Rhinolophus ferrumequinum: one gene and its partners. The protein of the gene in region 1 interacts with the protein of each later gene in a biochemical or structural test. Links are inferred from orthologs where the notes say so. Each region holds a gene or a part of one and is shown in the gene's direction. Other genes may lie near its edges.

Region 1 (6,877 bases):
CCCTTGCAGTCCGCATGCACCCCCCCCAGAGTGGAATGTGGGGCTCCTCATCCTTCAAAGACAGTTCCCAAGCTCAGGGAGACAGGTCCAGGCCCTCATGGGCTCCCTCAGGCCCCCAGCCGTCTCTCCTTCCAGACTTTTCCACAGCAGCTGCACCATTTTACATAACCAATGCACAAGGCTTCCGATTTCTCCACATTCTTGCCAACGCTCGTTGTTTTCCATTTTTTGATAGTAACTATCCATTGGGCGTGAAGTGGTATCTCCTGCTGGTTTTGATTTGCATTTCCCTACTGACTAGTGGTCTTGAGCATCTTTTCATGTGCTTTTTGGCCATTTGTGTATCTTCTTGGAGAAATGTCTATTTAGACCCTTTCCCCATATTTGAATTGGTGTTTTTGTTGTTGTTGTTGAGTTGAAGGGGTTCTTTATATATTGTAGATATTAACCTCCCTTATCAGATATGTAATTTGCAAATATTTTCTCCCTTTCTGTTCATTGCCTCTTTGCTACTATGAGTCCTTTGAGGAACAAAAGTTTTTAATTTTGATGAAATCCAACTTATCCGTTTCTTTAGCTGCCTGTGCTTTTGGTGTCATAGCCAAGAAATTATTGCCAAATCCAGTGTCATGAAGATTTTCCCGTTTTCTTTTCTAAGAGTTTTATAGTTTTGGCCCTCACGTTAGGCCTTTGAGTTAGTTTTGTATGTGGTGTGAGGTAGGAGTCCAACTTCGTTCTTCTAGATCTTTCTTTTTAAGCCAGCCCCTGAACAATGGACCCTGCACACAAACCTTCGTGCCCACAGCTCGGCCCCCTGGCGAGAACCCAGGGGACAGGGTACTGCCCCTACTCTAGGCAGCTCCCAATCACACTTACCACTCCCTCCCCACCAGGTGGCCACATGACCTGGTACAATCAGCTTGAATCCTTCCCCCGTTTTATATTCACTGATTCTGCACAAAGCCTTCTGCAAACCTGTTTCTCCTTTGTACTCAGGGAGCTGGACCCAATCAAATCCCCCCTCCCACTGGAAGTGCTTCACTTTGGACACACAGCAAACTTACCAGCACATTGGAAATCTCATTCGAGGTCTGGTCCCCACTGCCTGTTCCAACTGCACCCCGTACCACCATCCCCCGGCTTACCCTGCCCTAGCCTCTCGGCCTTTCCTCACCCCACCTCCAGCTCCTGACCCCAAGGCTCTTCCCCCAGCCCTCCCAACAACTGGATGTTGCTCTCCCTTCCTGTTTCAAGGTCACCTCCTCAGAGACCTCCCTGACCACCCTACCTAAACCAGGTACTTTAATTATTAGTGTGTAACAAATTACCACAAACTTAGCAGCTTTAAATAAAGCACATTTATTATCACAGGTTCTGTGCATCAGAAGCCCAGGCTTAGTGGGGTCCTTTGCTCCAGGTCTCCAAAGTCTGGGGTGGCATTCTCCAGTCCTCATCTGAGGCTGAGGGACTTCCTGCAAACTCACTGGTTGTGGCATTCTTCGGCTCTTTGTTATTGAAGTCTCAAGGTCCCTGCTTTCTTGCTGGCTGGCTTGCTGTTGGCAGAGGGCCATTCTCAGCTCCTGGATGCTGCCCCAGGGCCCTGCCATGTGGCCCCGTCTACAACATAGTTTCTTCAAGGCCAGTCAATGCTGGATAAATGCTTGTGAACTGACTGATGAATGGATGGCTCAGGGGCCATCACTGAGAACGTGTGTGCCAGATGCAGGCTCCTGGGCTGACGATACCAGATCTGAGGTAGCTTCCCTGCCCTCTTCCAACCCACCCTCCTGCTACACGCTTCCTTCTCCATCTACCAGTCCCAACATTCTCCTTCCTGCATGAGGGACTTTGGGCCTCACACCCCTTTTCACCAGGATGGAAGTTCTCTCTGCTGGACGACTCACCATCTCCAGTTCCACACACAAACATGGAACCCAGGACCCTGAGTCTCCTGCTCCACAACCTTTCATGGCTCCCCATGGCCCACAGAATGTGGAGGCCCAGGCCCTCCACGACACGCCACATCCAGGCCACCAGCTGCGCCCTCCCTCTGCCCCCTGGCTATGCTGAGCCCTCTTGGGCTCCTGGTTCTTCTCTTGACTCCAGCAATGGCCACCACCTTTTACTGGCCATTTGCGGCGTGCCTTCCCCAAGCAGCCCTGTGCAAACAAACCTCCTGGCACCCGAATGAGAAAGATGGCATTGGTACCTAAGGCCCATGCACCTCAGCAGGAAGCTGGTTTCTTCCAGTGTAGCTCAGCTGAGGTGTGTGGCAGGCCTCGCCGGGGCACTCATTATATAAGGCACACTTTGAGGACTACTCAGAGCTGGCCAACCAGGGCTGGGGAACCAGAGAAAGGGTGTCACAGACAAGCCCCTTGATGCTTCTGGCACCCCGAGGTTGAGAACTATAGCTGCCTGGGTGAAGCAGGCAGCGTCCCCAGGCCAGGCAGATACTGAATCATTGTGGGGACCCAGGAGAGAGCAGCCTCTTTGGAGTTCAGAGTCTGGGAGGGATTTGGAACGCTCACATTCTGCTCAATGGCGCCGGAGGGGCCCTCCGGCCTTTGTCACCTGGGACCCCAGTCCCTATAGCCACGCCTTCTCTCTGGGCCACGGCTGACCAGGAGGTATCGTAGGCAGACCCCCAATCCAGCCAAGCAGAGCCACCACACCCAGGAGACCCTCAGCTTCATTTTACTGCCCCAGAGTAACAGGATGGCTAGGAGCACATGGAATTCGTCCACTCAGAGCACTGGGCCAGATGTGGGACATAGTACACCGGACCTATGGTCCAGCCCCTGGGGAAGCCAACAGTCTCTGAGCACAGGGCCAAAAGAGGCACTTGGGGGTGTGGGGGGAGGGCCAGAGAAGGGAGATGGAGGGAGGGAAGGAAGCAAAAAAGGGAGGGAAAGGAGTAAATGCAAATCGCTGGGGTTGTCCAGCACCCCCCGCTGCGCGGCTAGGGTCAGGCGCCCTCCACACCCATCGCGGCCTGATCCCTAAGCGCCCACGGGCGGAGCGGGCTGACCTTGGGAAGCGCCCTCTCCCCACCCAGAGCTGGGGTTTGGGCAATGAAGCTGGCCCTGGGAATTGGCCCGACGGGGAGATACTCAGCGAGGCCAGGAAGGACCAGCGTTCACACAAGGGCTGGGGGTGGACCCCCAGACCCTGACTGCAGGAGCCGGGCAGGGGTCCCAGCCCGCACCTCGGCCTCCCGCTCGCAGCCCCTGCGCCCCTCCCCCTCGGCCAGCCCCTGGGTTAGGGAGCGTCCGCACTTTTCCTCCCGTCGGTCGGGCAAGCTCTCGGTCGTTTGTATGGGGTCAGCTCATTGGGACAATTCGATGGACGCCCCGCCCAGCGCCCCGAACCGGCCAATTGTAAGGGGTTTCACAGACGCAGTACTCGGAGGATCGTCACCGTGCTGCGACGCTTCTGGGGATCCGTAGGCCTCAGTGGTCTTTGTCCCCCGGCCCTGGGTCTTAGCCCCAAGGAGACCAACGGGACCCGTGCCCAGAAAGGTGCCCACGAGGCATCTGGGGCGCCCTTGGAGATCTCGGCCTCCTCTTTCTCCTGCTGCTCACCGGCGTGTCCTCGAGTTGACGCGCGCGTCGCGAAGGGGAGTTTGTAGACGCTCCCTGACATCGGGGACGCGGCTCCTTTAAGGGCCCAGGTGTCCAGAGCGCCGCCTGACTGGAAAATCGCCCCCGGGCCGGACTCCCTGGGCAAGCCCGGGGCGTGGGCGCGCAGCAGCGGGTCGCGGGCGGCGGGCGGCGAACGGCGGTATGGGCTGCGCTGGGCGCGGGGCGGCGGCGGCGGCGTGCAGAGCAGGCATGCGGCGGGCAGCCTCCGCAAGCCCCGCCCGCGCCCCGCCCGCGCCGGGGTCCTCGGAGCGCTCGGGCTGCGCGCGGAGCGGGCTCGGGAGGGAAGTCCCGAGACAAAGGAAGCGCCGCGCCGCCACCGTCGCCGCCGCCTCGTCCGCCTCGCTTGCCGGGCTGCGGCCGCCCGAGGTGAGCACGGGCGGGGGGCGCGCAGGAAGCGGCAGCAGGATGGGGGCCGGGCCTCGGCTGCGCGGGGCTTCTGCCGCCGTCGGGCCGGGCGGGCGGGCGCCCCTCCACCCCGCGAACCCTTGGGCCCCGACCTCCGCCCCCTGCGCGCCCCGGGACCCGCCCAGGCCCCTAAGCCCGGGAACCGTCCGCCTCCGAGCAGTTGACGCCGCGGGTTACGGCCCAACTCTGCTGCCCCGGCCTCGGCGTCGCCCCGGCCTTGCTCCCTCGGGCTCCCGTCGCCTTCCCTTGTGAAAGTGGGGGGTGTCCCCTCCGGCGCGGACTCGCGGTGCGTCCGGGGAGCCGAGGCGGGGTTGACAGGCGCTTCCCTCCTGCGAGGGACGTGCGTTTCCGGGGTCACGGCTGTGCTCACAAACCTGTGGCGCTTTCCAGCCGGGGAGAGAAGGCCCAGCAGAGAGAGTTGAAAGTCTTGGATTGCAAAATCGCTGGCTTGTTTGGGGGATTTGCGTTTGATGTCTACAAACCAAAACAAGCCTGAGTTTTCCTGCGCCTCTCGAGAGCTCCTCTTGTCGTTGGTGGGACCCTGCCCGGCGGCGCTTCGCCGGAGGCAGAATTGTTTTTCAGGTTGCTTTGTATCAATTGAACAGAGGTTGGAATTGGTGGTTTCGTGAGTAGGAGGGAAGGGAAGGGAATGATTGATTAGCTGGGCTCAGGATCACGGCCTGCAGTCGCTCCTGAATCACAGTGTGAACTGGTCTGGTTTGTATGCTTGGAAAGTGTGCTTGGCTCCGCGGTTTGCAAAGTTACTGTACTGTGTTTGCAAAGTTGGCTTTTTGTTGCCTTTTAAAGAGGGTAGCCACAAATGTTTCTTGCCATTCAGGAAACGTTGCCTTTAGGTAAAGGACCTACCCGACAGAAAAGGGAGATGGATCCTAATTTGTCCTAATTTGTTTGCGGCCTTTTGGGTGGCTTAGGGGTGAATTCTGCGTCCTGCTGCACCTTTGTCTGGTTAGAGTCCGTGTTTGGGACCTTGCTTCAGAAACAGCCTGGGGTCCTGGGAGGTTTGTCAAACGAGAACAGGAAGTACAGCCTGGGCAGAGGGTGTCCTGAGTGCAGGTTGCTTGGGTGAGGCAAGAGAAGGCTGTTCCCCTGGGGGAATTTGTGGGCGTGTGGAAAAGGCCCATCCAGGGTTTTTCATGCACTATCTGTTTCGTCTTGGGCAAACCTGTGGGGTCTGAGTACCACCCCCCCCCCATTTTACAGGTGAGGAAGTTGAGGTTGGGGGAGACGAGCAGCTTGCCACACTCCCACAGCCAGTAAGAAGCTCTGAAGTCCGTGCTGTCAACCAGCAGAGCTGATCGGAGAAGAACAGGTTCAAGGACAGCCCGTTACAGGGCCCTGGAGGAAGGTGGAGGGCAGACCTCCCTCCCGCTTGGTGAACTCGGCCTTTTGTCCTGCGGGCGTCTCTAGTAGTTCACGGATATGTTCTATTTGCATCTGCAACTTTGCTGCTCTGAAGCATCTCGTAACACATAACGCTCCTTAAGTGCCTGTCTGTTCGCTGGGGAAGGCAGGTTCCGTGTTAAGTGGGATTCTGAGTGAGCGCTTCCTAGTGTTGTAATTAAAATGTAATATATTGGCTGCTTTCTCCTGGACCCTGGGCGGCCCGCAGGAGCGGAAGCACCATCTTGGAGACCAGGCTTCTGCCTGGGACAGTGCTGGTGGGCACCTGTGGCTTTGTGCCCTGATGGCAGAAAGTCTTACTGTGACCTGGCCTGGTCCCTCGGCTCCCCTGGGAGGGGGGCTGCAGGAGCTCCTGTGGGACTACCCCTCGTTGACCTTTCACACCTGGGACCGCCACAGCTAGGCACTAGGTGGGACAGGGCCTCCGTGGGCAGCTTTGCCCGGTCTTCAGAGCAGAAGAGGCGCGGTCCTGGCACATGGGTGGCAGGCAGGCAGTTCACCCTACTGAGTCGTGGCCTGGGCTCGGCGCAGTCCCCCCCCCCCAGAGCACTGGGGGAATTGTGTGGACGCAGGTGTCCATGGCTGCTCCGTGTTCCAGAGCTGGCCTGGGGCTTCAGAAACCTGTTTTGATGCCTAGCCTAGCTCAGACTTGCTAGGGACCTTTGCCTCACTTAAACAGCCGCTTACCAGGCTGCTTGTCGTCGGTCACAGAACTGTGTTCATGAATTCAGCAGAAGCGTCCTGCCAGTCTGCGCTGTCTGCTTTGCCCTGGTCAGGGGAGGGGGGCCTGCCCTCTGAGGGCTCTGTCAGTGGGGAAGCCAGTGGGCAGCAGGCCTTTGGGGGCTAATGTGTGCTGTGCCCTCTGGCCCGGGGGTGGCCAGGGCATAGCTGCTGGCGATGTAAAGGTTGTTGGGTCGTTCATGTAGAAGAACCAGTTGAAGTGAAGGATTTGAGAAACTGAGAAATGAAGAGTTTTCAGACATCAGGGTTCCCGCCCCAGCCTCCCAGCCTGTCGTCACTGTCATTGCCCCCGTCTGAGCAGAGAGAGCCTTAAAGACAGAAGCCGGTGGGGCGCTCCTCTGCCCCGCCCCCTGCAGGCTCCCACCTCTGCCTGCGAGCCCACCCTGCCTTCCTCTGGCCCACATTGCCTCCTGCCTGAGGGCTGCGGGCTGTGCCCGGGGGGGCTGCCTGGCCACGATTTAAAAGCAAGTGCCTTCCCATTCCTGTCGCCCTGCTTTGCATTTCCTGGCACCGAGCACTTCCCAGCACGTGGCTTCCTCTCTTGGGATTCCCCCCTCCACACACACACACACACACACCCACGGCAGCGTCCCTGCAGGTTTGCTTACACCCCTCCCCGGGTTCAGGTCCATGGACAGGGAGGAAATGAACAGACCCAAACCCTG
Region 2 (7,791 bases), on another chromosome or scaffold:
CCTGTGCTCCAACCGAGCCATCCGGCAGGCAGGTCACCTCAAGGTGCCATGTTCAATCTTAGTTGCAGGGGGTGGAGCCCACCATCCCTTGTGTGACTCGAAGAGTTGAACTGGCGACTTTGTGGTTGAGAGCCCCTTGGCCCATGTGGGAATCGAACCGGCAGCCTTCAGAGTTAGGAGCATGGAGCTCCAACCACCTGAGCCAACGGTCCGGCCTCAATTGAGGTTTTAAACCTCTCAATTTTAGAATTCCTGTTAGATTTTTTCAAACTTTTAATTTAAATTTTAAAAGTGTAAGCATGCTTTTATTGCAGTCTTTTTCTGATTTCTGACTCTGCTAGTCATTTTATTTGGAAAATTATCTGTAGGATAATCTGAGGTTTGAGGTAAAGATGCCTTCATCTGGAGAGGATTTTTGTTTGTTTCTGCCCAGTGACTGTGGCGGAATGCCAGTCTAGGACCTATTTATTTAGTATTCAAGGCTTGAAGTTTCTTGATTACTGTAAAACCTGATTGGAAGTGCTGACTTACTTCTGGTTTATCTTTACCTTATGGGGTCTTGTATTAAATATGGGGAGTGTTTATGTTAGACTTTCCATCTTCTGTGGCACTAGATTTAGATTTATTTCTCTCTTGCTCAGGAATCCTTCAAAAGTCATAGCTCAGTTTATAGATTTTACCTTTAGATTGTCAAATGCCTTCCGGAGAGATATTTGGTTTAACTACCTAGAATACTGCCTTCTAAGATTTGGGCTGGATAATTCTTTATATTAGGTATTTGCTTTTGTTTTTCTAAATTCAGATATTTTGATTGTTCTCAATTGGTGAGTTGAATCAAATTATCTAGCTGTTTAATATTTATGCCAGCATTCCTGGGGTAAGATTTGTTTATAAGTTAGATAGGAAAACTAATTTTTGCCTAGTTTTGGCATTGAAGTTATAATAGCATTTTATAATAAGTAGAGAATGTTCCTTCATTTTTCAATTTTCTCTGTAGTATTAGAAGTCAGATCATTGGTTGTTTCTGGTGGGAAGTTTGACTGGGAAGGAGTAGGAGGGAACTTTCTGGGGTAATGGAAATGTTCTGTATCTTGATGAGCATTTTTCAAAACTAATTGAAGAGTTTACTTAAGATATGAGGATTTCACTATATGAGAAATTCACTGTATGATGAGAAATTATACCTTAATAAAAATTGTTCAAATATTAACAATTGTTGAATCTAGCTAGAGTGTATACAGATGTTCATTGTATTATGCTTTTAATTTTTCTTTACAGATTAAAAACAATTCAGAACAAAAAGTTGGGGATGTAAAATTAAAAGATAAATTAATTGTTCAGTTTCCTTGATATTAGTTTCAGTAAAGGTGAAGCCAAACACTATTTGCAAAATGTAAACGAGTGAATATATGTGATTAAAATAGATGTATGTTTGGCAAAAGAAGAAAGGTGACCTGAAATTATCTAGGAGGCTTGAACATGGTTATAGGAAGAGGAAATGAGTGGAAAGGAAAAGAAAGATGTTGAGATCAGGGATAATTGATGTGTTCAGAGATAGAAAGGGAAAGAATTAAAAAGACCGGTTCTTGGGACTAAACTCAATTTTCCATGAATGGTCCAAGTAGGTTGAATACTCCTTTCTGAAGATACTAGGACATACCATATGGGTATCTGAGTGCTTCTTAATACTTTTTTTGGTGTGTTTATCACCTATTTAGATACAAAAAAATTATTATATATCAATTTTATATTGATATATATTTTTATTATATATCAAGTTTATAAAATGCACTCATATACCTTATCTCATTTAATCGTCCAACATCCTTAGATCAGTGATAATCATTCCTGTTTTATAGATTAGAAAAGATAGGTTGAGACTTTGCTAAAGTTACACACCTAATAAATGGAAAAGCCAATCCTGAGACTTTTGACTGTATGAGTATGTAGTATAATCTTAGGACACTTTCATTGTAATACTTATTTTTAATTGGAGCCAGATTAAGATGATAGCCCAACCAGGTAATTGCCTAGAATCTCAATCCATAAAACAGATTTTATCCTTGAAAATGTAAATAAAATAGTATTTAATGGAATTCCTCTGGGGAAACAATTCTGTATGTGGCTGGAGTGGTACTTTGGTATGTGGTCTACAGTGGTGGTGAGCCTACTGTTATAACACATTATAAGGAAGTTAGATCCAAGTAAGTGCAGATTTGTTTTTGATAAGTAGGATATATTACAAATTTGAGCCAGAGCTGAATTGCTCATGACAGTAAAGAGAGAGGCATTCTTTCTATACTTTACCACTCAGCTTTCCCTTGAAAAGAATATTGAATGAATATAAGGAGTATAGTTTAGAAAAGATGCCAAATTAGTAATCTGGCCTGGGGAGACAAAGTAGCATCCTGTTTCAGAATTCTTTTGGTTGCAACTAACAGAAAACTCATTTCAAACTATCCAAGACAGTAAAAAGGAATTGGCTCAAGAACACTGGCAAGTACAGAGGTGAGGTGGGTGTCAAAGCTAATTTTGATTTTTTTTTAGTGATTCTTGCCAATGACATGGGTTGGTCCTCAAGCTGGCCCCTCGTAGCAAAATAGCTACAGCTTTCCACATTCTAGAGAGTCTCCTCAGCTCTAATCACTGAATATCTAAGATATTTATTGCCCTACCTGATTGGCCTACCTTGGGGGCAGGGGCCCACACTTGACCTAATTGGCAAACCTGGAAATGCCCTGTAGTTGGATTTACAGGAACAGTTCTGATCTAATCACGGTATCCAGGAGGACATCAGTTGTTATTGGCATAAACCAGTCTGGACCAGCTCCTAATACTCTATGCAGTCAAACCTACCCAACCCTACAATGAACACTACAAACAAGTTTCAGTGCAGCCTTGCTTCTCTTAGTTTTGTATTCATGATGGTCCCTCTTATGGGTTGTAAGATCCTTGGCGGAAAGGCTTATTGTATTCTATTCTTCTTTCTGTTCCCCAAACTCCAGTCCACAGTAACCTTCATTTAATGTCTGTTGAATAATGTTAAACTCTACTGAGGTATAAACCAAGGCCTAAGGAGACTAAGCTAAGATCAAGAATAAGACAAACTAAGACCACAAAGTTAATGGTGTAGAACAGGGGTGTCAAAATGCAGTCCGTGGGCCAACTGCGGCCCGTGGGTCAACTGCGGTCCGCAATCCATTGTTAATTGGCCCACAGCAAATTCCAAAAATATATTTAGTTTACTTAAATAAACCAGGTGAGGCAATAAGTACTTCACCTCGAGTGACTGGCCCGGCTGTTTGTGTATTTTACCACATATGGTCCTTGGTGAAAAACGTTGAAAAAAGTTTGGACACCCCGGTGTAGAACCTACTCTAGATACTGTTCTTCATTTCTTCATTAAACAAATGAATAATTTGTCAGGCGTTTATCAGTCATTAGTCTAGTGGGTTAAACAAATTTTAAGGTAAAAAACTTAAAACACTATTTATGTAATAATCACACAAATAATTACATATTTACCAGGGAGAAATATTACGAGGAAAAGTTCAGGTCCTATGAGTCGTCGTAGAGAGGGATTTGAATTGAAATGGGGCATGTGGGTTTAGGGAAGTTCTTCCTGAAGAAGTGATACTTAAACTGAGACCTGAAGGGTGAACAGGAGTCCAAGAGGGGAAGAGGGAAAGAGTGGGAAGTTATTCTGGGCCCGAGGATCAACATTCAGAGGTCTGAAAAGGTGGTGGTTGATAAATCACTGTCTCATCAGTCGTGGTAGTGGGTCTGATGGAGGAACTGACGGAAGTGCATTGTTGGTGAAGCGAGGGGGAGTGGGAGGAGGCAGTAGGTAGGAACCAGATTAGACGGGGCCGTGGAAATTCTATTAAGTGTTTGAAAGTCTTTTCGTGGATGAGTTCCATTCACCTCTTCAAGGAAATCTGAACCCTGTACTTGGTCCAGCAAATTTTCTGATCAGTTTTCCTCAGCATCTTCTCTCATCCTTTATCAGCAAGTCAGAAGTGCCATCAAGCTTCCTTCCATCTTCTCTTGCCCTTGCCATTTCATTCTTCCCTAGCTATCAGATTTCCCTGACTCCTCGACTTTTTATCATGGCCCTTCTGATAACTCTCTTATTTCACTTCTCTTCCAGTGCCGCCCCTGCCCCCAACCCTTTCAACTCTGCTGGCCATGACATTCAGTTGCCCTTCAAAGTCAGAATCAGCCCCGTTAGTACTTTGAGGATATTAGCAATCCAAAGAGGCCGCAGCAATCCTGCATCATTAGATCGGAACAATGGCTCATCCAGCACCCATTCTTAGATCGTTCCCACACAACTACGCTGGAGGACGGTTTCATTGGCAGCTGCTTCCTCTGTCCACAGCCACCGTGTGAAAGGGCACCGTAAGAATTCTCCCGAAATGTTCCTGTCACGAGTCCCGACCTCTTCTCAGCCACTCCCCGGGGCCAGGTCTCCTCCAAGCCCGCGGGTAACGCGGCAGTTGCGACGGCGCTTCAGGGGGTCGGCCTCCGGCCGCCGCTCGGAGGAGGGAAGTCACCGCTCGGGGCTGAGAGAGGACCGCGACAGGGCTAGGCACGAGAAGGCATGCGGGAGGCGGGCAGGGCACGATAGAGGGCGGGAGCTAACGAGAGGATCACGCAGAAAGCGGGGAGCGCGGCCGGAAGAAGCCGGCGGAAAGTGGCGGGTCGGGTGGGTGGGGGCGCCTGGTGGGCGGGGCCGCGCGGCCGGGGGCGGAGCTCCTGTGCCTATCACGTGACGGGCCCGGCGGCGGCGACGGCGGCGGCGGCCGCGGCGTCTTCAGCGGCGCCCAGTGCAGGATGGTGCTGGAGGCGGCGGCGGTGGCCGTGGTGGCGGCGGCGGCGTCGTTGGCGGCAACGGGAGGGGGTGCTGTGGCGGCAGCGGCGGCGGCGCCCGCGGTTGGTATAAAATGGCGGATTTCGAAGAGTTGAGGGTAAGCGGGGGCGCGGGAGTGCAGAGCGGAGGCCGCGGGGGAGGGGAGGGAAGGCGGGGAAACCGCAGCGTCGCCGGCCGCCACCTTCTTGCTACGCGGGGACGGGTTTGTGGAGCCCGGAGTCCCGGCCCGCGTCGGAGTGAGTGGGCGCCGGGGCAGGCGGCGGGAGGGGGAGGGGAACGAGGCGGCGGAGGACGCCGGGGCCGCGTCGGGGTTGGCGGGCCCGGGGCCCAGGGCTAGCGGCCCTTTGGTCCGGCCTGGGCTCCGCACACCTGGCGCGGGGGTCCGGGGCCGCCCTCGGCAGGGGCTCGTGGGGACGCGACTTCCCCGTTATTTTAAGGGCAGATGTGGAAGCAGGATTTGCTTTTCCACCTTCGCGAGGGGTGTCCGAGTCTCTGGCTATTCAGAAGTCCACATGCTCCTCACTCGGTGGGAGACTGTTTTCTGAAACGTGAAGTTGGGTTTAGGAATTCTCTTTTCTCTACGACTGATGCTACCGTTTAGTCAGATGGGTCACGAGAAAGGCCCCTCCCACCAGTGCTTCCTCAACGTGTTGGAGAGAAGCGTTGTCTTTTGGGAACCCTGCCTTCAGTTATCGGCCTTCAACCTTGATATTTTCTGAGGGCTATGGTAAGAAATCCGCAAAGTCCGTGTTGTCATGAGGTGAGTTTGTGAACTCGTCTTGCTGTTGAGGAAAAACATTTTTCCTCCTAGCCTTAGAACAAGGTCACAACTTTATTGTTGATGCCTTTGTACAATAGAGGTTTGAAAAGGGGTGTGCTGGAAGTAGAACATAAAGGATATTCCCCCCCCAACCCACCCCCCGGGTTGATAACCTTCAGAGTCCTCAGCGAAACAAAACTGTGATAAAGGGACCAGATTTATTTTTTATGGCTCACTTGAATTACTGGTGACATAACTGGAATATTTAAGGACGGAAACCCTGATTTTTAAAACAAAGTCAAAATAGAGATGAATATAAACTTGAAATTCACTGTAAACGTTTTGCTTAACATGAACGAATGGTGTTAGGATTACTTTTTTGGAATAAGAAGGAAAGGAGTCCGGTAAAAGATTCAGTTTTGTATGTTTATTATTGTTTTTTGGCAGGGGATGGGGTCGGGGAAGGATGTTGGCCGGTGACCTCGCTGGTACAGTGGACATCAGCAAAAGAATGCATGAATTATTCTGATCTAAAGGGAGATTGTTACAGTTTGTATAATGCCTGTCATTTTTTCCTCCTGCTGTTTCAAGAATTCTTTAATTCCCAGTAAAGATAAAAGTATATTAATGAATTAATGCCCTCTACTAGTTTATACAGAGAACCACGATAGTAGGAAACAGGTGTTCGTAAGGCTAACGTACGTATAAGGATTTTAGTGTCTCCGAAGCCCAGCTGCAGAGCTTTCACACCTGTGGAGCTTTTGAAGCAACCAGGCCTTAGCCTCACCTGTGTAAATTCATGTGTTAGGTTTGGGATGGGTTGAGAAGACTGAAGTTTAAAGTTAAATTTATTTTTACCTGCAGTATTGTCTTAATTTTTGTGTAATAACAGATGTACGAGGATACAACTTTTCTAAGATTTTTTGTTGATGAACTTTTCCAAGTCTTGCATTACACTTTTTACATATTGGTCAAAGCTTAATAAAAAGTAGACAGTTTATTTACTGGTATAGAGCAGAAAGAACAGTCAGTGCTTTGGTTGGAGTGGAACCAGAAACGGCCAAGTGGTTGGAAATCAAAGAAGCTTTTCTCTCTGTGTCTCCGCCTTCCACCTCTTTCCCTTTTCTGATTTGTTTTGTGGGTCAGCTTCATCATCGCTTTCTGTAAATCAGTTGTGATTACTTCTCCCTGCACTTGATAGAAGATGGCCCCCTCCCTCACAGTTCACATTAGGTAACTAACAATAGATTAATGGGGAGAGTTTTCAGAGGAGGGGAGCGTGCGGGCTGTGGAGATGCTGGAAGAATTATCCACTCCAGTCGTTGCCTTAGCTGCTCCGTGGCGTCTTCTACATTTAAAGATGAACTGTACTCCCGCCGCCTTCGGCCCCCTGCCAGTGCGAAGGGTGATGATGATAAGATAATGCAGATATCCAGTAGAATATAGTGCTTATTACAATACATGCCTGGCTCTGGTCTAAGCGCTACACAGACATACTTAATTTTCACAGCAATTCTATGAAGAAATTGAGGCACAGAGAGATGAAATAATCTGGCCTAGATCACGCAGTTCGAGTCTGGAAGACGTGGGATTTTTAAACCTCAGGTGTCTAGCTTTAGAGTTGGTGCTCTTCAGAGTCTGAACTACACTGCACTGTTCATTTTCCTTTGGGTCCAGGCGGCACTCCCAGCTATCCTCCTGTAACCCATGGACTAAATTGCATGATAAATAACCAGCACCCTTCTTATGTGACTGCTGAGGTAAGAACGTCCAAACCTATAGAAAATTTTATAAGAGTTTATTAGAATCAAACTGAAGACATGCCCAGAAGCAAGAGCTCAAAAATGCTTCAGCGAATGGCAGTTTTGCAGTTCTTTTTATACATTTGGAATGAAAGGAGGGAATGTATTTTTACTATTTTTACAATGAAATCTATTGGTGGTAGTAGGTTAAGGAGGTGGAGAGAGCAAGGAGGGGAAATCCCTATGACTAGATAAATATAAAATAGAGAGATATATTTCTTTTACATTGGTGGGTACAGGGTAGTTTATATTTAACAATCACAGTAGGAAATAGTGATAGTATATAGGCAACAAGTCTATGAGCTTCCTTGAGGATGATTACCAGAGGGGTTTGGAAAGGAGGATTACTCTGGCAT
Region 3 (6,970 bases), on another chromosome or scaffold:
CTGGGGTGTTCTTTATACACAGAGGCTGCACCAGCTGAAAATAGCTCTAACATCTTGTTATTTTCTCTTTCCCAAATTTTGCCTATTCATACCCAAGAATAAAAGACTCAGCCTGTTCAGCCTTTCCAAAGATTTAACGAACATTATCGATTTGACTTCTAAGTACCCAAAAAGGACAATAATATATATTTCCTTTGCTTGGATAGGGCATTCATCCCTTCAATAGATATTTATTGAATACCTACTATGCACCAGGCACTGTGCTAGGTGCTAATTGAATAACAGTATATGAAAAAGACAAAGGCCAAAAGTATGTATATGCTAAACAAGTCTAAGAAGCGACTTCCCCTAGTCCCTGAAAGAGTTGATTTTGCTACACGCATTTTCCTGACTTCTGGTCCCGTGCTCCGACCACAATCCTTCACCACTAGACCACACTTCCCCAAATAAATAACTACTTCTGCATGCTGGGGACGTGTTGTGCGTGGCAGCATTTACGTAGGTGGCTCAGACAGCAGCCTTTCACTTAATGTTGCAATAGCACCAGGCTAAACACTGACTTCTAGAGTTATTGAACAAATGCTTGATGTGGGTCAGGTCTCTTTACTCAAATGCCAGAGAAGTGCAAAATTGGAAAAGTTTCTATCTGATAAGGAACAACTGCTGAGGAGAAATAAATTTGTTTTCAATTTGGGTTAAAATCAGATGTGGGATTCTACCCTCCTTTTCACTTCTGGATCCCCAAATAGGAGGAACTTAGCACGTAGATAATCACAAACAACGTAAGTTTGGGTTTGAGATGCTCAGGCTTGTCCAGAACGTGGAACCTCTGCCCCGCTGGAAGGCAAAGCGGTACTCAGAGGCACGCACACATCTGTCTCAAAGTCACCCTGACCTTCGCAAATGGCAAAGATCATTTCAATGATGATTCTGATTTCTCTTTATTTTAAGGCTATGTCATGTGAACTCCATATTAAAAATGTGATTTTGCAGTCCTGAAATGGATACTATGAACAGATTGAGATGTGAGAGTGTGTTAGAATGATCACAGGTTCAGATGTTAGTGGGGCAGGAAAGTGAGTCTGAGATTGTATCATCTGATAGAACTGCTTTGAGTTGAGCACTTGCTTCTCCAGATGATGCTCTGACATTTCAATCTTTATCATGTTGTTTCCCAGAGGACAGTGGTTCCAAGCCCCATAATTGTATTGCAGTCACTTCCTCTGATACCTGTCTTCATACCCTCTTCATGGCACTCTGTTCTTACCTCTGTCAAACCACTTAACTGCTGCCCTGCAATTCTCTATTGCTTTGTCAGTCTTCTCCATGAGACTGGAATCTCTATGAGGGTAGGAACAAGTCCACCTTGTTTATTTTAGTAAGCATCAGCCCCCAGCACAATGCCCTACCACACGAGGCTCTCAAGTGTTCTGTTCAATAAATAAAAGAATAAATGAATTCATGGATGGAGTCATGGTCCTTTTCAGAGGATGGATTAAGTCTCCAACTCTGGTCATAATGGTGCCAGGAAGGAAAGAGTTAAGCTATCTGGAGGAGACAGGTTCATCCAAAGCCCATTTGCCCTTTTTATTGGCATAGGCAGGATAAGTTAGGTATGAGATAAATCCTGCATATAAAATCTTGATACAACCTTTAGATGTTGGCCAAAGCTGATTCAAGACTCTGAAGGGGAAGTAAATGAAATTATTCTAGGTTTTCTCTTAAGAGGCTGGAGACACAGTTATGAATGGAATGCAAGACTAGACCCAGGAATTCACAGCCTGACCTACTTTGTCCGAAGCTAATAATGAGAGAGATGGATTTGCCTTCATAGACTTTTTTTTAAATTAAATAATCAAAGATAATGAAGTAGCCTGACCGATGATAGAATTAGGAAAATTGCTTTAGGATTCAGAGTAGCTCTGAGTAGTCTGTATTTATGTATTATGTGTTTTTCCTTCCTCTCCCCTTTTTTAAGAGACGGGGGGGGAAAAAAAGCGCCTAAATTCTCACCGACATAAACCAGTGACATACAATGATGAAATTTTGTTTTCATCTCTGCCTGTGACAGGGAATGCAAAAATAGCAAGTGGCCCAGTTCCACGAATCCCCGCCTCCCTGCCCTCCCTGCTCCCGCGGGGTTCGCATCTCTAAGAATGGAGGTTAGCGCACAGTCGCGCGCGAGCCGCATTCAGCCCGCGGACCCCGTGGATGATGTCAGGCGACAGGAGTGGCCGCAGCCGGGCCGGGCCAGGGAGGCCGAGGCCCTGGGGGAGCGAGGAGGGAGGGCGGCCTCGCCAGGCGGACGGCGCGCCCGGCCGCGCGGCGTCGCCTGGAGACGGCCCTGGCGGCGCTGTGTTGCTGTAAACAGCCGCTTCCCTGTTACTATCTATAGCTGGATCGCCTGGCTCCCGGGTGCGGCGGCGGGAGGCAGGTCGCGGTCGCGCTCCCAGTGCGTCCCGAAGGATCCGCCCAGTGTCCTAATCATTCCTCGACCCTCTCCAGGTGTTCACCGTGACCCCCAGACCCGAAGAGTCGGGGAGAAGGGACACAAGGGCTCTGCGGGGACCTGCGGCTTCGTGCCCCGCAGGTGGCCGGCGTGCTGGGACCGAGCCGGGGTAGTGTGACCCCGGCTGTCCTTTGCAGCGGGCAGGAGTTTGGGGGGTTTCTGGGGGCGCAGCGCCCTCCCGAGCACCTTGTCGCTCCAGAGCCTCGTTTTTCAGGCCACAGAGCTGCGCCTGAGGTCCCAGCAGCAGAGGTCTCCAGCCTGGGCGCTACTGGGCACCGTCCTTCCAGCGCCCCCGGCCCTCCCCCTTCAAGTCCCGGCTGGAAAATCACCCGTTGCGGGCTCCCAGCAAGCCCAGCTTCCTGGGGGACCGGATCGCCCCCACTTCCCCAGCTTGGGCTTGCACTCCCCCAAGAGCTCGCTCCAGTTGAAACCAGGAACTGACGACCTTATCCACATAACATCCCCGACCCCAACCCCACGCCCCGGGCCCCAGCTCAGAATCAGGCAATTGAACCCTTCAGACATCCTTGCTTGGAGGATCTGCACAATGTTTATTGGCTAGTGCTTCAGGGGTTTGACAGTAACACTGATGTCTCCATATATGACCGAGAAAGAAAATGCGCCCTTTTCCTTAAAAACAAAAAATAAAATTAAATGAAAATACCTAGCATAATAGATAAAAATCGGTTATCCTCTTATTTCGGATACCCCGACTTTCAGCTTCCAAACGCACGCAGTAACAGTCCTAGTATTGCTGGAGCCCGTGGGCTTGAGGCGAGGGGATGAAGGTCTGCTTCCACAGTTTGCACAGAACTTGCTAGAATTGGGAATAGAGGAGGAGTCCCCATTCCTTCGCGGGCCGAGGCTTAAGCCCTCGGGGCTGTTTACCTGTTTCTCCAATACCTGAGCCTCAGAACTGTTCCTTGGTTTCTGCATACTGGTAAAAAGGCGCCGCCCCCCTCCCCTCACCGCGGGAACAAGGGTCCGCATTGAAGCAGGTGCTAACGTCCGCTCGCATTCTGAGCCTTTCCCGCCTCCCCTCCCCCGGTCGCGGCCCCCGCCTCCCCCCACGCTGCACCCTCGGAGTTGGCTGCAGCCGGAGCGCAGTTCCCGTCAATCCCTTCCCCCTTTTCACAGGATGTCCATATTAGGACATCTGCGTCAGCAGGTTTCCACGGCCGGTCCCTGCGGTCGTGCGGGGAGCCATCCCCGCAGTCCCTCACCCTAGGGGGTCCACGAAACCCCTAAGACTCAATGCTAAACGTTCATAAGATAAAAAAACACAACAAGACGGGAACTGGGGGCTGCGAGGGCGGCGGAGGCAGCAAGGAGGCCGCAGATGTGTCGAGACTTGCGCGCCACCCCTCCAGCGCAGCAATGGTTTGCGCCGTGACGTCATTGGGCTCATTCACAAAAAGCTGTTATAAAAGCGGTGGCTGCGGCTCCTCGTACTCCAACCGCATCTGCAGCGAGCAGCCGAGGAGTGCAGATAGAGCCGGCGGCGGCGGCGCAGCGAGCGAGCAGTGACCGCGCTCCTACCCAGTTCTGCCCCACGGCTCCTACCTGCTTGCCTCCCTCAGCCCCTCGCCCGGCTGTGACTAACCGCGACCATGATGTTCTCCAGCTTCAACGCCGACTACGACGCGGCCTCTTCCCGCTGCAGCAGCGCCTCCCCAGCTGGGGACAGTCTCTCCTACTACCACTCACCCGCCGACTCCTTCTCCAGCATGGGCTCTCCTGTCAATGCGCAGGTAAGGCTGGCTTCACCGAGCCCAGGGCTCGGGGTCACTGGGGTGGAGGCATCGGGCGGGAAGCTCAGGAAGACGAGTCGGGTACCCCTTTTGGCGGGGAGGGAGCAGCCCTAACTCGCGAGTCCCGGACTTGTGGGGCGCTCACACACGCTTGTCAGTAACAATTGGTTCTCCTTTCCCGCGGCAGGCTCATTCTGAGCTGCCCCCGGCCCGCGCTCTCTGTCTGGTCTCTGACACTAGCTGGGGCAAACGTGTCCCAAGCAAAGACATGCTAACTGGAACCTGGCTTCTCTCGGGAGGCGGCAAAAGCGGCAATCCCCCCTCCCGTTGCAGTCTGGTGCAGGGGCGGGGGAGGAGGGCGAAGCAGGCGGGTGTGTAAGGCAGTTTCATTGATAAAAAGCGAGTTCATTCAGGAGACTCCGGAGCGGCGCCTGCGTCAGCGCAGACGTCAGGGATATTTATAACAAACCCCCTTTCAAGCGAGTGATGCTGAAGGGATAACGGGAACGCAGCAGCGGGATGGAGGAGAAAGGCTCTGCGCTGCCTAATCTTGGAGGAAAAGGGCAGATCTTTTATCCAGGACGAGGGACATTTAAAAAGACAGGAGCAGCCCCTGGCAGGACCGTGTCTACTCCCTCTCTCCTTCCTGCATGCGGCCCTGGGAACTCGGCCACCTGTGTCCCGAGGCTGCTCACTCACATCAGCTTCCCCCTTCTGTTTCGTTCTAGGACTTCTGCACGGATCTGGCCGCCTCCAGTGCCAACTTCATCCCAACTGTGACTGCCATCTCGACTAGCCCGGACCTGCAGTGGCTGGTGCAGCCCACCCTGGTTTCCTCCGTGGCCCCATCCCAGACCAGAGCCCCCCACCCCTATGGAGTTCCCACCCCCTCAGCTGGGGCTTACTCCAGGGCTGGAGTTGTGAAGACCGTGACTGGAGGCAGAGCTCAGAGCATTGGCAGGAGGGGCAAGGTGGAACAGGTGAGGAGTTCATCCGCACCTTCTCTCTACAGGGAGCCGGGTCAGCATTGGTGGAGATGGGGAGCACAGTGGATAGGTTGAAGGCACTGATGGAACTGACTCCACATTCCCAACCGGGAACTCTGGCTCCAAGCCATTTCTATGCCGAGTCAGATTCTGATAGTCCCACCCCAAGGAATATCCTAATAGTTTCTTCCCTAAGAGGTTCTAGCTCATGCTTTTACACCAGGCTCTTCTTCATTCTCTTGCTGAGAATCTTATTTGAAATGCAAGTCACACCCAGGCTGCAACTAACTGCAGGTTACATAGAAATAAATGGCCTCGCAGAAGAGGTGCCAGGAAGCTAGGAAGCTGCAGGAGTCAGTTCGCTGGGGTGGATGAATGGAGCTGATGGCAGACACTGTTATTGAATGTTGGACTTTTTTTCTTCTAGTTGTCCCCAGAAGAAGAAGAGAAAAGGCGAATCCGTAGGGAAAGGAATAAGATGGCTGCAGCCAAATGCCGGAACCGGAGAAGGGAGCTGACTGACACACTGCAAGCGGTAGGTAGATTTCTTGGGTCACTTCTTTTTAAAACTTAAGGGGAAAGTTGGAGATTGGGCATAAGGGAGCAATGTCCTTGAGCAATACTGTGTCTTATGCTTTGCTTTATCCCTCTGTATACAGGAGACAGACCAACTAGAAGATGAGAAATCTGCTTTGCAGACTGAGATTGCCAACCTGCTGAAGGAAAAGGAAAAACTCGAGTTCATCCTGGCAGCTCACCGACCTGCCTGCAAGATCCCTGATGACCTGGGCTTCCCAGAAGAGATGTCTGTGGCTTCCCTTGATCTGAGTGGGGGCCTGCCGGAGGCTGCCACCCCCGAGTCTGAGGAGGCCTTCGCCCTGCCCCTCCTCAATGACCCTGAGCCCAAGTCCTCAGTGGAGCCTGTCAAGAACATCAGCAGCATGGAGCTGAAAGCCGAGCCCTTTGATGACTTCCTGTTCCCAGCCTCGTCCAGGCCCAACGGCTCTGAGACCGCCCGCTCCGTGCCAGACATGGACCTGTCTGGTTCCTTCTATGCAGCAGACTGGGAGCCCCTGCATGGTGGCTCCCTGGGGATGGGGCCCATGGTCACAGAGCTGGAGCCCCTGTGCACCCCCGTGGTCACCTGTACTCCCAGCTGCACTACTTACACATCTTCCTTTGTCTTCACCTACCCTGAGGCTGACTCCTTCCCCAGTTGTGCGGCTGCCCACCGCAAGGGCAGCAGCAGCAACGAGCCCTCCTCTGACTCACTCAGCTCACCCACGCTGCTGGCCCTGTGAGCAGGCAGAGAGGGGAGGCAGCAGGCACGTACTAGTGCCACTGCCGGAGTTGGTGCATTACAGAGAGGAGAAACACGTCTTCCCTCGAGGATTCCTGTAGACCTAGGGAGGACCTTATCTGTGCGTGAAACACACCAGGCTGTGGGCCTCAAGGACTTGAAAGCATCCACGTGTGGACTCAAGTCTTTACCTCTTCCGGAGATGTAGCAAAACGCATGGAGTGTGTATTGTTCCCAGTGATACATCTGAGAGCTGGTAGTTAGTAGCATGTTGAGCCAGGCCTGGGTCTGTGTCTCTTTTCTCTTTCTCTTTAGTCTTCTCATAGCATTAACTAATCTATTGGGTTCATTATTGGAATTAACCCGGTGCTGGATATTCTCAAATTGTATCTAGTGCAGCTGATTTTAACAATAACTACTGTGT
Region 4 (7,507 bases), on another chromosome or scaffold:
AGGAAGGTGTTGATCTCGAAGACTAACATGGTCCAAGGGACCCCTGGAGCCACCAGAAACTAGAAGAGGCTGTCGACAAAAAAAAAATCCAGCCTAAGAGAAAGTATGTAAGTTTATCTGAGACAAACTGATGAGAATTGCTGGGAAGTAAAGTCTCAATAGATTGAGAAAATGCTCCGGAAAATGGCCAACTTATTTTATACGTTAGAATCAAGGGAGGAGGGTTACATGAAATCCATTGGTTATAGATTAAGGGGGTGGGAGAAAGCAAAGCAGGGAAATCTCTGGGATTGGCTAAAAAGTAAAATGGAGAGACACACACTTTTTTTTTACATTGGTGGGTACAGGATAGTTAATAGCATTTTACAGCACATAGAGATAATATTTGGGGAACAAGATAACAATGAGGGATTTTGTAGTTTACTGCTCTGGTGTGGTGGGTTGTGCCCCCTGGGGGGTCTGGAAAGGAATTACTCTGACATTCCAAAGCTATATTATCTTGGATGCAAAAAGACAACAGATAGGCTCACTTAAGGTAAAGATTGACCTTTGTTAAGGAAGCTACAGGCCAAGCATATGACTTCCCTGCCATGGCCCACCTTAGTTAGGAATTTTTATGTTCACACTGTCCTATGTGGTCATTTTCAGTCTCCTGAGCTTGTCAGGTTTAACATGTGGTCCCTTTTCTGTCCACAAGGCAAAGAAGGATTCTTTCTCCCCTAGAATCTTCGGAGGGATTGTGACCTGGCCCTCCCTGTATCTGAACCTCAGAATTCTGGCCTCTAGGACTGTGAATTAAATTTTTGTTTTAAGCCATCAAGTTTGTGGTAATGTGTTACAGTAGCCACAGGAAACTAATGGAGGAACAATCATGATTTTAAAGGGTGATTTAGAGGGTCTAGTGCCTTCTCTGCCTTACCTGCATGAGTGTTTTTATCTCTTGTTTTCTGTCTCCAACCCATCTACTCCCCACCTGGAACCCTTAAAATGGGAATCAGATCATGTCATTCCTAACAATTAAAGAACAGCCCAATCAGAAACCATATGTGGGACAGCGGTTGTGTGCATTACAGCACAAGCAGGAGGGAGGCCCAAATGCGATCAAGAGGAGGATGCACAAACTAACTAGGGTATTTGTGTGATGAGGCCCACATACAGTCACACGGATGTACACTCAGGGAAGGAAACCAGACAGACGTGCAAACTCGGCGTGTTTCAATAAGCAGACCAGTGAAGCTTCTCTGTGTTGAGAGAAGTCAGGATGGCAGCGGCTATGAGGGTCATGGAGGGCTCCTGGGAGCCAGAGACGTTCCATTTTTTTTTTTGCTCTCAGAGCTGATTCTGTAGGGTGCTTGCTGTATGTAAGATGTGTGTGCTTTCCTCTACTTATTAAAGCCTCCATCAAAAAGTTAAAAAGTTCATAGAAACAGAAAGATGATCAGTGGTTGCCAGGGGCTGGTGGGAGAGGGAAAGGAGAGTGCTGATGGATACAGGGTTTCCTTTTGGGGTGTTGAGGTGGTGATTGCACAACATAGTGAATGTATAAATTGCCACTCACTGACTGCATGCTGTAAAATAGCTAACATGATGAATCTGATGTCATGTGAATTTTCACCACATTTTAAAAACAGCTTTAAAAGTAGTAGAATCCAAAACTCATCTTGTAGCCTACAAAATTGGCAGACTCCAGACAGTCATCATCTCCATGCGTCTGTTTGCCCTTTTATACATGTACTGAGTGCCTATGGTGGACTGGGCCCTGGGCTAGGCATGGCAGATACTGCAGTGAGCACAAACAACTTGGAGCGCCTGTCTTTGTGATTCTCTGTAGTTGAAATGTGTAGGAAGAGAGGAACCAGCCACGACCCCAAAGCTCTTATCAAAATCTGATTTTTATGTGTGTGGTAAAATATACACAACATGAACTGTCCAGTTTTACTATTGTAAAACATACAATTCAGTGGCATTAAGTATATTCATGTTGTCCTACAACTACAACTGTCTAGTTCCCAGATGAAATCTGTGCAGATGGAGTAAGAGATTGGAGTGATGCAGTCACTAGACCTCCCAGAGAAATAGCTTTGGGGGTGACACCTGAAGGTTGGAAGGAGAGCCAGGTGCAGGTGTGGAGTGTGGGGAAGGGAGAAGGTGGCTGCCCGCAGGCCTTGGCTGCCCTTGGTGCCGTATGAGTGATTCCTATAGTTTCCACCCTTGAGACCTGTCTGCAAAGCCAGGATGTAGACAATTTCTAATGAACAAGGACTGGAAAGGGTGAGATACTGTAAAGGGTGGACGGGGAGCACAGGGGATGAGAGCAGAAATGACACTGACTGCTCTGTCTGACCTAATGGCCGGGGGTGGGGGTGGGGGGCAGAGCCAAGATGTACCTGTCTTCTGGATCTCTGGATAGGCTGCATCTTCAGAGAGGACCTTTTTGCAAGGGTTCTGCCCTGGCCTTGCTTGCTTGTATGCCCACTCTAGCTCAGCTAGTCCTGGGATGCCCCTTTTGCCCGAGTCCGCCTGAACCTGGTTTCCAGTTGATCCCCCTGTCCCAATGCCATCTTGGCACTTCCAGAAGCCTTGGTTTCCCTATTTGGACAAGGGGGCTGGCAGTGGCCCAGCAGTGGGTGGTAAGGCCACTCTCCAAGGCCTGCTGCTGGCACCCTGCCTGTGTGGCCATGTACTGGGAAGGTCCAGGGCCCAGGAGGAAGGGGAGACTGTTTAGAGAGAACAGGATAGGCCTTGGCAGGCCGTTGAAACCACAGGACCAGTTACCAGAGTCTAGTGAAGGGCAGCTGTCTGGCAACTTCTAGGTATGATGCACCCTGCTCACTTCCCAGCTCCGTATGTGCCCAGTCAGCTTCAGGGCCTTTGCACTTGCTTCTGCCTTAACTGTCTTTCCTGCAGGTGTTTGGGGACAGCACCTACGGAAGCCCACTCCCACACTCTTTACCATCAACTACTTATTTTGACTCTCTGGTCCCTGACCCACGTGCCCCCCTCCCTCCTTCGTCTGCCCCAGGGGCCAGGGTAGGTATGGGTTACACCCCCTTTGGGGCCCAGCGCAGGACGGGGTCGCCCAAAGTATCCAGCAAATACTACTAAAGGACGTCACATCTCACCCTATGGGCGGCCAGCTACCAACTTTCCTTCCCAATTACCAGAGAAAGGAAAAAAGAAAACAAGGGCCCGCGGCCAGGGCCTCGGAGGGGGTGGGTGGGTGGGTAGGGGGGGGGTTGGGTGGGTAGGGGGCGTGGCCCCACCCGACGCAGCTGAGGGGGCAGCGTCAGGCTTGGAACAAAGGCAGGCGCCGAAACAAAGCCCCAAGGCCCCCAGTACCCTTCGGGAACAAAGGCTACGCCTATCTCTCCTGGACCAGGCACGCCTCCGCCGCCAAGGGTGGCGCCTGAGGAGCTAGGTGAGGGAGGCTGCAACTGCTCCCCCTGCAGCCTCGGCGTGTGCGAGCCAGGGAGACTCCGAGCAGTGTCTTGCGGCTCTGCATCCTCTCAAGAGCTGACCCCGGCAGACAGGATTCACTTCTCCAACCCTGCTTCCCTCCCTAGAAGTCCACCTCCGTTGAAGTTCGGTTCGGCCACCTGGAAAAGCATCCAAGTCAACACAGATGCTGGCTGGAGACGGGAAGGGGCGCTTGGTGGGCCAGGCGTGATCTCAAGACTCGCCGCTCTGTAGCCCCTTGGGACCTATTCGATTCGGGCAGGTTTCAGTGTTTCTCACGTTAAACAATGAAAAGGTTAAAACCGAAAAGTCAGCCTGCCAGATCAGAACGCAACTTCTTTCTGGGATGGGAACACTCTGCCCCTTTCTCGGGCCCGCCGTCTCCTCCAGGTCTTGGCCCCGCCCCCTCTCCCGAACGCCTATTGCAATGACTGGAGACGTCTCCCGGCCGCCAAAGGGGCGGGGATTGAGGTGGAGGCCTGGGCTGACAATCCGCGTGCGCAGCACAGCGGCCAGACTGTGGGGCCAGAGGGGAGGTGGAGCACTCTCTAAAAACCGTGAGCGCGTTCTACGTTGCGGCTATAACGTCAATGATGCTCCGCCCTGCCTCACAGGCGGCGCCGGGGTGGTGCCGGCGAAGGTAGGAGGATCCAACTCAGGCGCGTGCGTACTCGCTGCCTCTTCTATAGCGATCGGCCCGGGCCCCGCCCCCAAGCTCAAGGCGCCCAGCGCGCCTGCGCAACGGCGTCGGCGCCAGTTATTTCTGTCCCGCCCCCGAGCCGCGGCTCTTTCTGCGAGTGGGCGCACGGGCGAGCGGTTGTTCGCGTTGCGTGTCTTGGGTCTCCGAGGCCACCGAGAGGGAAGCGCGGGCGTCGGCGTCGGCGGGAGGCGAGCAGGCAGCGGCTGGCCGTGCCTCGGCAGCGCCCTGCGCGCAGCGGGCGGAGGCCCAGGCGGCGCGTGGCGGCGCTCGGCCTCGCGGCGGCGGCGGCATCGGCAGCTACCCAGCCGTTGGCGGCGAGTGCATCTGCGCCTGCGCGGCGGGCCCCGCGCCCCTCCTCCCCCTGGGCGCCCGCGGCGGCGTGTGAATGGCGGCCTCGGCAGCAGCGGCCTCGGCCTCGGCGGCGGCGGCGGCAGCCGCTTCGGGCAGTCCGGGCCCGGGTGAAGGCTCGGCGGGCGGCGAAAAACGTTCCCCTGCCGCGGCCGCGGCCTCGGCGTCGGCTTCCGCCTCGGCATCGTCGCCTGCGGGGGGCGGCGGCGAGGCGCTGGAGCTGCTGGAACACTGCGGCGTCTGCCGGGAGCGTCTGCGGCCTGAGAGGGAGCCGCGCTTGCTGCCCTGCCTGCACTCGGCCTGCAGCGCCTGCCTTGGGACCCCGGCGCCTTCCGTCGCCAACAGCTCGGGGGACAGCGGCGCGGCGGGGGACGGAGCCGGTGGGTACAGTCTGACCCCGCCCTCCACCCGGCAGCTTTCGATCCCGACCTGGCGCGCAGATGGGGAGTTTGTGCTTAGTGTGTGGCGGGTGAATCGGCTAGGCGAGAGGATAGGGTCCCGGAGAGTGCTCTGCCGGGCGCTGAGATGGGGCGTGTGCTTCAAGTTCGATGAAAGAAGGGTTTGTTTGGCTTCTGTTCTGGGAGGGCAGGTCCGGCCCAGCATGGGATGCCTGAGATGGAAACTGGGGTCCAGTGGGACGATGGGGTTATATATAGTCTGGATGTGATCATGGAATGGTTTCAATTCCTTTTATTCTCAGCAGTCGTGGATTGTCCTGTGTGCAAGCAGCAGTGCTTCTCCAAAGATATTGTGGAGAATTATTTTATGCGTGACAGTGGCAGCAAGGCTGCCGCTGACTCCCAGGATGCGAATCAGGTATGTTCCGTTCTAGCAACATTTAGGAGGCTTTGGGCCTTGGGGAGGGGTCATCAGCTCAGGGGCATGGTTATATTTCCAGTTTATTCTTCCTACACTGTGAGCATTTGGGCAAATTGTTCAGGCTAGGTAAAGGCACCACTTAACGTTTCTTGGATTGCAAATGCCAGCATTTCTGGTGGTTGTGTTTCCTGACTCTACCTTTGCCTGGCAGTGCTGCACTAGCTGTGAGGATAATGCCCCCGCCACCAGCTACTGTGTGGAGTGCTCTGAGCCACTGTGTGAGACATGTGTGGAGGCACACCAGCGGGTGAAGTACACCAAGGACCACACCGTGCGCTCCACTGGTACACAAGGCGGATGGAGGGGGGCCTGGGTTCCCCTTCTACATAAGTCTTCAGCTGCTTAAGTGGGTTGCAGATGGTGGATTTGTCCCAGGACCTTCACTAGGGGGCACTACCTGAAAGGCCTGGTGGCAGAACTCAAAATCAGAAGATTGGGGCTCTGGTATGCGGTCTTATGGTCCAGGTGGGGGAGGGGGAGAAAGGCCCCCGGTGCTGCGGAGGGCGGGGGGTGTGCACAGGAGACTGAAGAAGCTCACAGGGACCTACCTCATTGTGCCTCAGAGTGTACAGAGGGTTCAAGGAAGCTCATCAGGGGAGGCTCCCCGCTATCCCCCCTGTGCAGACAGGGAAATGCCTGTCTGTGGTGGAGGAACTGCCCTGTGCAGACAGGGAAATGCAGGGTATTTGGAGAGAGATGTGAGGGGCCTTCTTGACTTGGGGTTCCTTGGCACCTGCCTTAAGGCTCTGTAGGAGAAAGGCCCTCCAGCCACAGCGTCTTGACAAGCTGTGAGGGCTGGCCTTCGGGCCATTACTGCCAGTCGTTTTATCTTTGGGGTGTGGGTGTCTTAAAGCGCAGCTGGGTATTTCCAGACTTTCTGTGAATGCTGGCAGTGGTATGGCAACTGACTTGTTAGCTTTCTGAGTCTAGCCTGGTTTTTCATGTACAAGTTCTGAGTGGCCTTTTGGTAGTTACACTGGCAGCTTCAGCACAGAGGACAGTACTGGTGGGAAGATGAGGATGGCAGTGGTGGCTGTGCAGCATGAGGAGCGAGGAGGGACAGGCAGAGGATCCTGGATTTTAGGCAAAGGTCAGGGTGTAGGATGAAGTAACATTGAAGGAGCTGATGCCTGGTTTGTATCTCAGTATCGCATAACTCAGGCTGGGTTGGTATTGCCGGGATGTTTTTGGGATTGAGGAAGAAAGCGGAACAGACTCCCAAACAGCTTTCTAATGGTGACAGACACTGGGTGGGGAGGGGGTTGTAAATGTGGTATACTGGTCTTTGGGTGGTATAACAGTACCGGGACCTGTCGCCCCCAGGGGGCCTGACACCTTTTTGAGAGTCCTGGTCTGACACCTCATTTCTGCCAGCCTGAGGAGGCTCTGCAATGCCGCCTGAGGGCCTATGGCTTGTAAGGTACACGGCCTTCTCTGAGCAAAGAAGAGGGGAGGTCAGCAGGCATGGCTCCTGAGGAAGCTGCCTGAGTGGTGCCTCTAGGCCCTGATTCGCTTTCTGTCTGTGCCAGAAAGCAAATGTTCTTCGTGCCCGGGATGCCTCAGTAGCCAGAAAGCCCCCCTGCTGGACAGAGCCTGCTGTGAGTGGAAGAGAAAGGGAACCCAGTGGGGGGTTCGGAGGCGGAGGAACTCTTTTGAGTGTCCACCTGGAGAAGGTTCCAGTAGAGGGACCAGCAGCGGGGAGGTATCCTGTCAAAGGCCATCATCCTCACACTGCCAGAAGCTGGAGGGGGTGGTCTCTTGGTCAGGCTTGGGACAGGAAGCTTTGAGAGGAAGGGTCTGGGCTCTGGGGCCTGTGCTCTTCCTGGGCCCTGGTTGCAGGGCCCCTGGGTTTTCCCAGTAGGTAGCCCAGGGCTGCAGGACAGGCAGGAAGTTAGGCCCCGAGTTGGACATGCTGAGGTTGGGCTCCCTCCTTAAGATACCCATTTCCCAGGGCCAGCCAAGTCCCGAGATGGCGAGCGCACAGTGTACTGCAACGTTCACAAGCACGAGCCCCTCGTGTTGTTCTGTGAGAGCTGTGACACCCTCACCTGCCGGGACTGCCAGCTCAACGCCCACAAGGACCACCAGTGAGTCCTGCGATAGGGCCGGGGTGGGGGCTCTTCT

Evidence for each region.
Region 2: the proteins of UBE2I (region 1) and PIAS2 form a complex in vitro, tested with the Homo sapiens proteins (3 studies listed by BioGRID). The link is inferred for Rhinolophus ferrumequinum from reciprocal best matches to the Homo sapiens genes UBE2I and PIAS2.
Region 3: of the proteins of UBE2I (region 1) and FOS, one has a biochemical effect on the other in vitro, tested with the Homo sapiens proteins (3 studies listed by BioGRID). The link is inferred for Rhinolophus ferrumequinum from reciprocal best matches to the Homo sapiens genes UBE2I and FOS.
Region 4: the proteins of UBE2I (region 1) and TRIM28 form a complex in vitro, tested with the Homo sapiens proteins (6 studies listed by BioGRID, with this or other methods). The link is inferred for Rhinolophus ferrumequinum from reciprocal best matches to the Homo sapiens genes UBE2I and TRIM28.

The regions. Positions count from the first base shown.
Region 1 is NW_022680357.1:3,163,803-3,170,679, forward strand, and holds the start of UBE2I (SUMO-conjugating enzyme UBC9), read left to right. Parts: upstream 1-3,868; 5' UTR 3,869-4,010; intron 4,011-6,877. UniProt on the Homo sapiens protein: Accepts the ubiquitin-like proteins SUMO1, SUMO2, SUMO3, SUMO4 and SUMO1P1/SUMO5 from the UBLE1A-UBLE1B E1 complex and catalyzes their covalent attachment to other proteins with the help of an E3 ligase such as RANBP2, CBX4 and ZNF451.
Region 2 is NC_046302.1:38,607,900-38,615,690, reverse strand, and holds the start of PIAS2 (E3 SUMO-protein ligase PIAS2), read left to right. Parts: upstream 1-4,791; 5' UTR 4,792-4,946; coding exon 4,947-4,970; intron 4,971-7,791. UniProt on the Homo sapiens protein: Functions as an E3-type small ubiquitin-like modifier (SUMO) ligase, stabilizing the interaction between UBE2I and the substrate, and as a SUMO-tethering factor.
Region 3 is NC_046289.1:23,387,374-23,394,343, reverse strand, and holds the start of FOS (protein c-Fos), read left to right. Parts: upstream 1-3,951; 5' UTR 3,952-4,119; coding exon 4,120-4,260; intron 4,261-4,988; coding exon 4,989-5,240; intron 5,241-5,673; coding exon 5,674-5,781; intron 5,782-5,905; coding exon 5,906-6,547; 3' UTR 6,548-6,970. UniProt on the Homo sapiens protein: Nuclear phosphoprotein which forms a tight but non-covalently linked complex with the JUN/AP-1 transcription factor. In the heterodimer, FOS and JUN/AP-1 basic regions each seems to interact with symmetrical DNA half sites.
Region 4 is NC_046298.1:50,976,349-50,983,855, forward strand, and holds the start of TRIM28 (transcription intermediary factor 1-beta), read left to right. Parts: upstream 1-4,492; 5' UTR 4,493-4,541; coding exon 4,542-4,884; intron 4,885-5,204; coding exon 5,205-5,320; intron 5,321-5,534; coding exon 5,535-5,667; intron 5,668-6,912; coding exon 6,913-6,981; intron 6,982-7,334; coding exon 7,335-7,470; intron 7,471-7,507. UniProt on the Homo sapiens protein: Nuclear corepressor for KRAB domain-containing zinc finger proteins (KRAB-ZFPs).